2 linked regions of the Ovis aries genome follow. The protein of the gene in region 2 binds, or shares a complex with, the protein of the main gene of each other region. Links are inferred from orthologs where the notes say so. Each region holds a gene or a part of one and is shown on either strand. Other genes may lie near its edges.

The links. Proteins that work in one complex are often made in the same cells at the same time.
Region 1: DNTTIP1 (region 2) and SAP30 share a complex: the UniProt entries of both Homo sapiens proteins name them as parts of the histone deacetylase complex. The link is inferred for Ovis aries from reciprocal best matches to the Homo sapiens genes DNTTIP1 and SAP30.

What each region holds. Positions count from the first base shown.
Region 1 is NC_056055.1:107,372,936-107,376,964, reverse strand, and holds the start of SAP30 (histone deacetylase complex subunit SAP30), read left to right. Parts: upstream 1-1,221; 5' UTR 1,222-1,533; coding exon 1,534-1,848; intron 1,849-3,432; coding exon 3,433-3,558; intron 3,559-4,029. UniProt on the Homo sapiens protein: Involved in the functional recruitment of the Sin3-histone deacetylase complex (HDAC) to a specific subset of N-CoR corepressor complexes. Capable of transcription repression by N-CoR.
Region 2 is NC_056066.1:74,538,083-74,542,185, reverse strand, and holds the start of DNTTIP1 (deoxynucleotidyltransferase terminal-interacting protein 1), read right to left. Parts: upstream 2,809-4,103; 5' UTR 2,751-2,808; coding exon 2,646-2,750; intron 2,074-2,645; coding exon 2,003-2,073; intron 986-2,002; coding exon 889-985; intron 1-888. Other genes in the region: WFDC3 (WAP four-disulfide core domain protein 3), read left to right, coding at 3,344-3,400. UniProt on the Homo sapiens protein: Increases DNTT terminal deoxynucleotidyltransferase activity (in vitro). Also acts as a transcriptional regulator, binding to the consensus sequence 5'-GNTGCATG-3' following an AT-tract.

The sequences.
Region 1 (4,029 bases), on a different chromosome or scaffold from region 2:
ACACGTACACAGACACGCGTGCGCGCGCTCACGGATCCGGAGCACCCCTTTCCCGGCGATCTCGGCCGAGCGCGCGCCTTCGGTCTCTGGGAGCTCGTGGCTGACCGGAACTCAGAGGGGTTCTGCTTTTTATTTTTCACGTGTGATTAGACAGGTTCCCGGTTCCTTCGAGGACAAAGTGGAGGTGCCCGGGCTGGAGGCGGAAAGCAGCCCCTTTAAGTCCACTCATCCGGAGCTCCACCTCAGGAGGCGGTAGACAAGAGTCCGCCCCGCAAGCCAGCGCGATCCTCGCACGGACAATGCTCGGATCTGGAGAGCCTCCAGTCCTCCTGCCGAAGGGGAGGTTCGGACGCACGTCACCCCTCCCTGCCCACCGCCCCCGCAGGCGTCCTGATGGACCATCTCGGGCGTCAGTCTGCAGAGCTGCTACCCAGACCCCATGGGGTTAGACATGGGGCCTCTGGGACCCCAAAACTGCCAGAGCCCCGTTCTTCTTGGTTTGGGTTTCCCACAAAAACGTTGTTTAGTTGCTAAGTCGTGTCTGACTCTTGCAACTCCATGGACTGTAGCCTGCCAGGCTCCTCTGTCCACGGGCTTCTCTAAGCAACAATACTGGAGTGGGTTGCCATTTCCTTCTCCAGGGGATCTTCCCCACCCAGGGGTCGAACCCATGTCTCCTGCATTTGGCAGGCGGATTCTTTACCACTGAGCCACGTGGGAAGCCCCACAAAAGACGTCTTTACATCAAAAATTTTTTCACAGATACAAAAAAGGCCCGAAACTTTTTTCCCCCACACCTTCCCTCCCCTCGTATCCCCTCCGTTCCCACCCTCGCACCCCCTCCCCTCCTACCCCCGCCTCCCGCCTTTTGTGCTTCGCTTCAGGAGTTAAGTGACCTCTTCGTCTAAAGTGCCAGCTCTGCAAAATCCAGGAGCTAAACACAGCTCAACTTCCCGGGAGCTACCAGAGCCAGAAAACATCACAAGCCCCCCGCCCCGCCCCCCACCACACGCCCCTGTTTTCTCAATGTATTACCGAAAAAAAAAAAAAATCCAGATCCGCCTCCGCGCGATGAATGCTGGGATAAGAAGTTCTCCTAAACCATGAAGCTCGATGTCAGACTGGAGCTTAGGTTGGCTCCCCAAAAGAGAACTACAATTCCCGTGGTGCCCTGCGGGCAGAGTGGAAGGGGCGGGACGGGCGAGGGCGCAATGTGCTTGCGCAGATCGAGGGCCGAAGGGAGGCGGGGGTATCGAGGTCCGACTGCTGAGGAGTCTCCATGTGACAGTGAGCAGCGTCCCAGCTCCAGGCGACGCCAGATTCCAGTTCCCGATCCCACGCCCCGTCCACTGATCCTGTGCCTGCAGACAGCAGCAGGCCGGGGCCTCGTGGTCTTGGCCGGAGGACCCTGGCTCAGAGTTAATAGTCTCCGCTAAGCAGGTGCGAGGGACCGCCGAGACCCCGGCATCTCCAGAGAGGCAGGCGGCGCGGAGAGCGAGGCTTCTGTCAGCGCGGCTCTGCGAGTGCGGGAACATGAACGGCTTCACTCCCGAGGACATGAGCCGCGGCGGGGACGCGGCCGCCGCTGTGGCCGCCGTGGCCGCCGCTTCTGCCGCCGCCGCGTCAGCCGGGAACGGGGCTGGGGCTGGCGCCGGGGCCGAGGTGCCGGGTGCAGGGGCGGTCTCGGCGGCGGGGCCGCCGGGAGCGGCAGGGCCGGGCCCCGGGCAGCTGTGCTGTCTGCGCGAGGACGGCGAGCGGTGCGGCCGGGCGGCGGGCAACGCCAGCTTCAGCAAGAGGATCCAGAAGAGCATCTCCCAGAAGAAGGTGAAGATCGAGTTGGATAAGAGCGTAAGTGACGGCGGTACGAATCTGCTCTGCCCGCCCCCCGGGGCGCTCGGGGAGAAGGGCAGACGCGTGCCGGTGGGGGTGCGGGAGCCCCAGACCTGGGTGCCTCGCGAGCCCGTTCCGGGGTCCCTAGTAGGAAGCAAACAACAAGGTGCTGCAACTCGGCCCGCCGTCCGCAGTAGACACTCTCGCGCCTCCCGGACCCGCTCCCGCGGCCCCTCCCGCGCAGGGCCTCCACTCCTGCTCTGAGGGGGTCAGTGGTGAAACAAAGGGGGCGGCAGCGCCGAGAACCCAGAGTAGCTGTCCTGCAACCCACGGCTCCTTCTGGAACCGAGGCACCTTCTTTGTTTTGCTGCCCGAGCGGGTAGCTTCCCCGGTCCAGGAATGGAGTGCAGCCAGGACCGGACGCTGCGGGCGACTAGGACCCTGTCCCGGGTCCCGCGGGTGCGGGGTGGGGGGCCCCCGGCTGCGAGCCGCGCGGCCGTGTCATCATCTAGGGGAACTGCTCGAGACGTGGGGAGCGGGCAGCCGCTGCGGGTTAGCCCTCGGTTTGGCAGCCATCAGGGTTTCTTTCTTCGTCCTTTCGCAGGTCTGTTCCTCTGACCATCTAGGAGGTTTTTAGAAACGACCGTTTCCACTTTTCCGAGCCCTGGGGAGCGGTAATAAATCACAAGATGTGAGAACCAGCACACGTCCTGCATCTTCTTAACTTGCACTTTAGCTCAAAGTTTAATTTGAAAACCTGTTAGCTCATTCCTCAATTTTTTTTTAAGAAGTAACTGCTGATGTATAAAACCCAGTATTTCAGAGGCTACCGTACAGCTCTCAGAACTATATAATTAACGTTTTTGGGAACTTTATTTGGGATACTTTCTGCCTATTCAGTTAGTTCCTCAGTTCTGTTTCCAGTAGTTGAAACTTTCCAGGTATACTTGAATCATTTCACATTGCTTTGGTTGGAAAAACTTATTATAAATAAATGCTTTTATTTAATACTCAGGAAAGTTCATAATTCAAATTTAAACTTAGTAAGGATGTGAAATCAATTTATTTGTCAAAAGTGGATGGTTTTGTGTCTGGATTATAATTTGAGTATTAAGTTAGATTAGGAAGCATTCACTATGGTATTAATATTATTAAATGCTCTTTTAAGTAAAGAAAATACTATCAAATAGCAAAATTGTGGCCAGCATCTTTTTGCCCTTGTTTAAAAAAGCGGCATAGCTGAACTAATCTAGTTCACCATCGCTGCAATTTGATGACAGAATCCAGAGCATAGGAATTTCTCATTCTCTGCTTCTCTCCCTTCCCTTACTGGCACTTCTCCCCACCCCACCCCCAGGCCTCTTTAACAATATTGCTAGACATGATATGTTTTAACTGGGTTCAGGACTTAAGAGTAGCAAGAAACATGCCTTGTTTTAACTGGGTTCAGGACTTAAGAGTAGCAAGAAACATGCGTTGTCTTAACAATGGCCTGTTACTAATGTTTATATTTTTAATAATTCACCGTAACTATGTATTTTACTAATACATAGACACATTTTCCTGTAATCTTAAGTTGTCTGTGAAACTTTTCTGTTCCAGGCAAGACATCTTTACATTTGTGATTATCATAAAAACTTAATTCAGAGCGTGCGAAACAGAAGAAAGAGAAAAGGGAGTGATGATGATGGAGGAGATTCACCTGTCCAAGATATTGATACTCCGGAGGTAGGTGAAAGGTTTGTAAGTTAAATGTAAAACTTCTGAAAGTTTTATTTAAAAAATATGAACAAATTCTAAAAATACTTGAAGCATTTGAAAACTCTAAAAATGAAAGCAAAATTAAATATAGCCAGTTAACATGCAGTTATGCAGTTTGACTTGTTATGGCTTCAATTGACCACTTTTTTTTTAATTTTAAAAACAATTCACTTATTTTTTAATTGAAGGATAATTATTTTACAGAATTTTGTTGTTTCCTGTCAAACGTCAACATGAATCAGCCATAGGTGTACATATGTCCCCTCCCTCTTGAACCTCCCTACTCAATTGACAACTCTTATAGTCCCCAGTCGTTAATAAGCATCCTCAAAAGATTGAACTGTTTAATGCATTTTTAGTTTTGATTATTTAAAAGCCTTTTAAAATAATGGAATTAAATTTTCACTGTGTTGAAGTTGAAATGTTTTTTAGAGCAAA
Region 2 (4,103 bases):
CCAATCAGAGAATTGTGCACAAGCTGATCACATACCCTGGGATGCCCCTCCCTCACGTTGTCTTTAAAATGCTTTGCTGAAACCCACTGGGGAGTCTGGGTGTTTCAAGCCCTAGTCTAGTCCCCGGAGGGCTTCCCTGATGGCTCAGTGGTAAGGAACCCACCTGCCAATGCAGGAGATGAGGGTTTGAAGATCCCATGGAGAAGGAAACAGCAACCCACTCCAGTGGTCTTGCTTGGGAAATTCCATGGACAGAGGCGCCTGGTGGGCTACAGTCCATGGGGTTGCAGAGTCGGACATGACTTAGTGACTAAATAACAATAACAGAAACAAACTAGTGCCCAGCCTCCTTGCTTGGTGCTGTCCAGCAGTAAATGTTGCACTTTCCTTCACCACTACCTGGTGTCAGTAGATTGGTTTTACTGCGTGTGGGTGAGCAGACCCAAACTTGCTTGGGCTTCCCAGGTGGCGCTGCAGGTAAAGAACCCACTTGCCAATGCAGGAGACTTAAGAGATGCAGATTTGATCCCTGGGTTAGGGAGATCCCCTGGAGAAGGACGTGGCAACCCAGTCCAGTATTCTTGCCTGAAGAATCCCATGGACAGAGGAGCCTGGCGGGCTACAGTCCATAGGGTCACAAAGAGTTGGACATGACTGAAGCAACTTAGCATACACATGGGTGAGGAGACCCAAACCTGCTTTGGTAACAATAAGAGGTATTCAATTACCCCCCAAAGAGAAAAAACATTCTTGGAGTGGGGATTCCAAATTGGAAAACTTTAGGCATGTGTAGGTACTAGAAAGAGCTAGGGAGACTGTGATGCAGGGAAGGATCACCGATGAGTCTTAACTCCTATTTTTTTTTCTTTGTCTCTGCATCCTTCTCACCTTCATGTACTTGTTGAAGACTGTCTGGATCTCCTCGTTGATGCTGGGCTGCAGGACAGCTCGGAGGAGGTCCATGGAGATGGCAGGATCTGTGAAACTGCAGAGGGAGGGAGGGGAAGAAGCCACAGTCAGGAGGCATGTTCCAAACATTTCTTTTCCCAATCTGCCCAGCCAATTACTGACATAAGATCCTTCAACAACAATAACAGATGGCTTTGGGACTTCCCTGGCAGTCCAGTGGTTAAAACGCTATGCTTCCACTATAGGAAGCACTGGTTTGATCCTTGGTCAGGGAACTAAGATCCTGCATGCCATGTAGCGCGGCTAGAAAAAGAAAAAAACAAACCACCCCCGAATAAACAAAAAGATGACTTTTACTGAAAACTAGCTATGAGTCCAAGTTCTGTGCAAACCACATAGATGTGGGACTTCATTTCATACTCATAACTCTATGAAATGGGCACTATTTTTAAAGTGTTTTAGCAGAATAATACTTAATATACTGTAAGTTTTAGTGAACATCCATTTAATCACTACTTAGGTCAAGACTTCCCAGGTAGTGCTACATGTAAAGAATGCGCCTGAGATGCAGGAGATGAGGGTTCGATCCCTGGGTCTGAAGATTCCCCTGGAGGAGGGCATGGCTCCCCACTCCAGTATTCTCGGCTGGAGAATCCCATGGTGGGCTACAGTCCATAGGGTTGCAAAGACCTGGACACCGTTGAAGCGAATTAGCATACATACACACATACAGGTCAACAAACATATACAACCAGCATCCCAAAGACCCATCTTGCGCTCCCTCCCTTCCCTGAGATGGAGACTATCAGGCTTACGTTTCTCATAATCTTCATGCTATTCTGCCTCTTTGGCAGCTTTAAATACAAGAGCCATTGAACGTTAGGGATCTTGGGCATTGTCTAATCAACACACCTCTCCCTCGTTTTGAGTTTGGGGGAAATGACTTGCTCAAGGTCACACAGAGAGTTACTGAATCTGAATCTCCTCCTTCTACTGGCTGATGAACTCTTTCTTAGCCCTGTGCAGTGGGGACCGCAAAGCTGCCTTCCACGCCAGGGCCCTGGAGAGACATCCCGTCCAGGGCTAGCCTTACCTTGTGGTCATCTGTGAGCGGCGGCCCCTCCGCTGCACTTGCCGGTGCTTGATCATTATGTTCCAAGGGTTCTGTGGGGACCAAGGGAGCAGATGTCACCGAGGTCCGTGACACTGGCGTGGAGGTGGAGCGTGGGCATTAAGTTACACCTCAGACATTCCTGCTTCTCGGGTGCTTTCACCGTCTCTGCCACCTTGGGCTAGGGCGGTGCAGGGGAAGGCCCGGCAGGGGAAGAGGAACAGAGCAAAGTTTCCTGCCTCCAAAGTCCCAACCCTACTTTTCATAAAAGGGTGGAGGAAGGGGACCAGTGTTTACCGAGGGTCTACTCTGCCAGATGATGCGCTGGGCGCTTTACCCGCATTTATTATCCCTCCCCCTGACAACTTTAAGAGGCAGGGGCTAGACATCTCCATCTTCCCGAAGATAAAACTGGGGCTGAGAGGCTTGACAGGGCTGGCCCACGTCACCTAGCTAGGAGGGCGGCACCAGAATTTGAAGCCAGGTCGTCGGACTGTGACAATGCCAACCCCCTCGGTAGATCAGCCGCCGCGTTCTCTCCCCCGCGGGCCAGGGTCCCGGGAGCCCGAGGCCCTGCCCGGCCCGAGCCCAGGCCCCGCCTGGGCCTCCCCGGGGGCGCCCTCACCGTGAGAACCAGCTGCCCCGCTGCGCCCGCGTCTCCCAGCTCGGGGCCACCCCGCTCTGCCCCGCCGGGTCCCCGCGGCTGCTCAACGTCGCCAGTGGCCCCCATGGCGCCACGGGCCCCCACAACTTCAGCCCGACTCTGCCACCGGCCGGAAAGTGGCCCCGTGACGTCATTGGAGCGCGCCGCCCTCAGGCTCCGGAAGCGCGACGCGGCGAGCGGTGGGGTTGCCAGGGAAACCGCGCCGCTGGTTCTCGTCCGGTTGCAGCTGCTTAGAGGCGTTGCGTGTCGGGTGGCCTTTCTGCCTCTCGGGGGCGGCCTCGCTTCGGGTGTGACTGGGGGTGTTCAGTCAAGGGTCGTTCTCTGGCCGGGCCAAGGCCCGTGGAGAAGTGCGGGGCGGGAGGAAGGGAGCAGGTTTCCATGGGCTGGAGCTGGGGAGAGGAGGGGGGCGTTTGGTACGGGGGCGTCTGCGGTTGTCTTTGGAAAACTAGATTTTAATATGCTCCCAGAATTGGATGGGCCTCATGCGAGGACCCCCAAACCCAACAAGAGGTGGGGGCGTCTGGCCCATGGCATCCTAAACACTCACTCAGGGGTCCCTCCAGGCCTTTACCCCAGGGGTTGCCTCTTGGCGTCGGAAGGCATCTAATGAAGATCCTGGGCTTCTCTCCCCAGATGGTTGATTCTGGGATAGGTTGAGGATGCAGGGGTTTCACAGCTGTGGAGTTCCCCAGATCCCCTTTTGCTCTGCATTAGAGGTAAGACATCCATGAATAGAATTGGACCTACTTTTACCAGGTCATAATATGGGGTAGTAGAAGGTGCATGAGTTTTGCAGTTAGAAAGATCTGAGTTCAAATTCATTATGATAAGATGATAAAGAACACTGGCTATGGAATTGGACTGCTTACCTTTGTTCTGGGCTTCCCAAGTGGCTCAGTGGTCAAAGAATCCTCCTGGAACACAGGAGATGCAGGAGACGTCTGTTCCATCCCTGGGTCAGAAGATTCCCTGGAATGGCAACCCACTCCTGGTATTCTTGCCCGGGGAATCCCATGGACAGAGGAGCCTGGTGGGCTACAGTCCATAGAGTTACAAAGACTCAGACGCTGCAAAAAGTCAGACATGACCGAAGAAACTGAGCATGCACACACGCACCTTTGTTCTACCACTTATTAGCTGCGGCCTACATTTCTTTCTGCGATGCAGTTTCCCCATCTGTAGAATGGGGATAATAGTATTTAACTCATAGGGTTGTAGTGAGAATTAAGTGAGCTAACTTATGTAAAGTACTTAGACCCTTGGCAGTAATAAACCTTCAAACAATGCTATCTGACATTCCTGTTATTAAATTCCAAAAGCCACCACTTACTAGCTTAATGACCTTGGGCAGTTTTCCCTCTAAAAAAAGAATAAGTTTTCTTACTTTTGCAAGTTAGTTGTGAGAAATAAAATATGTCA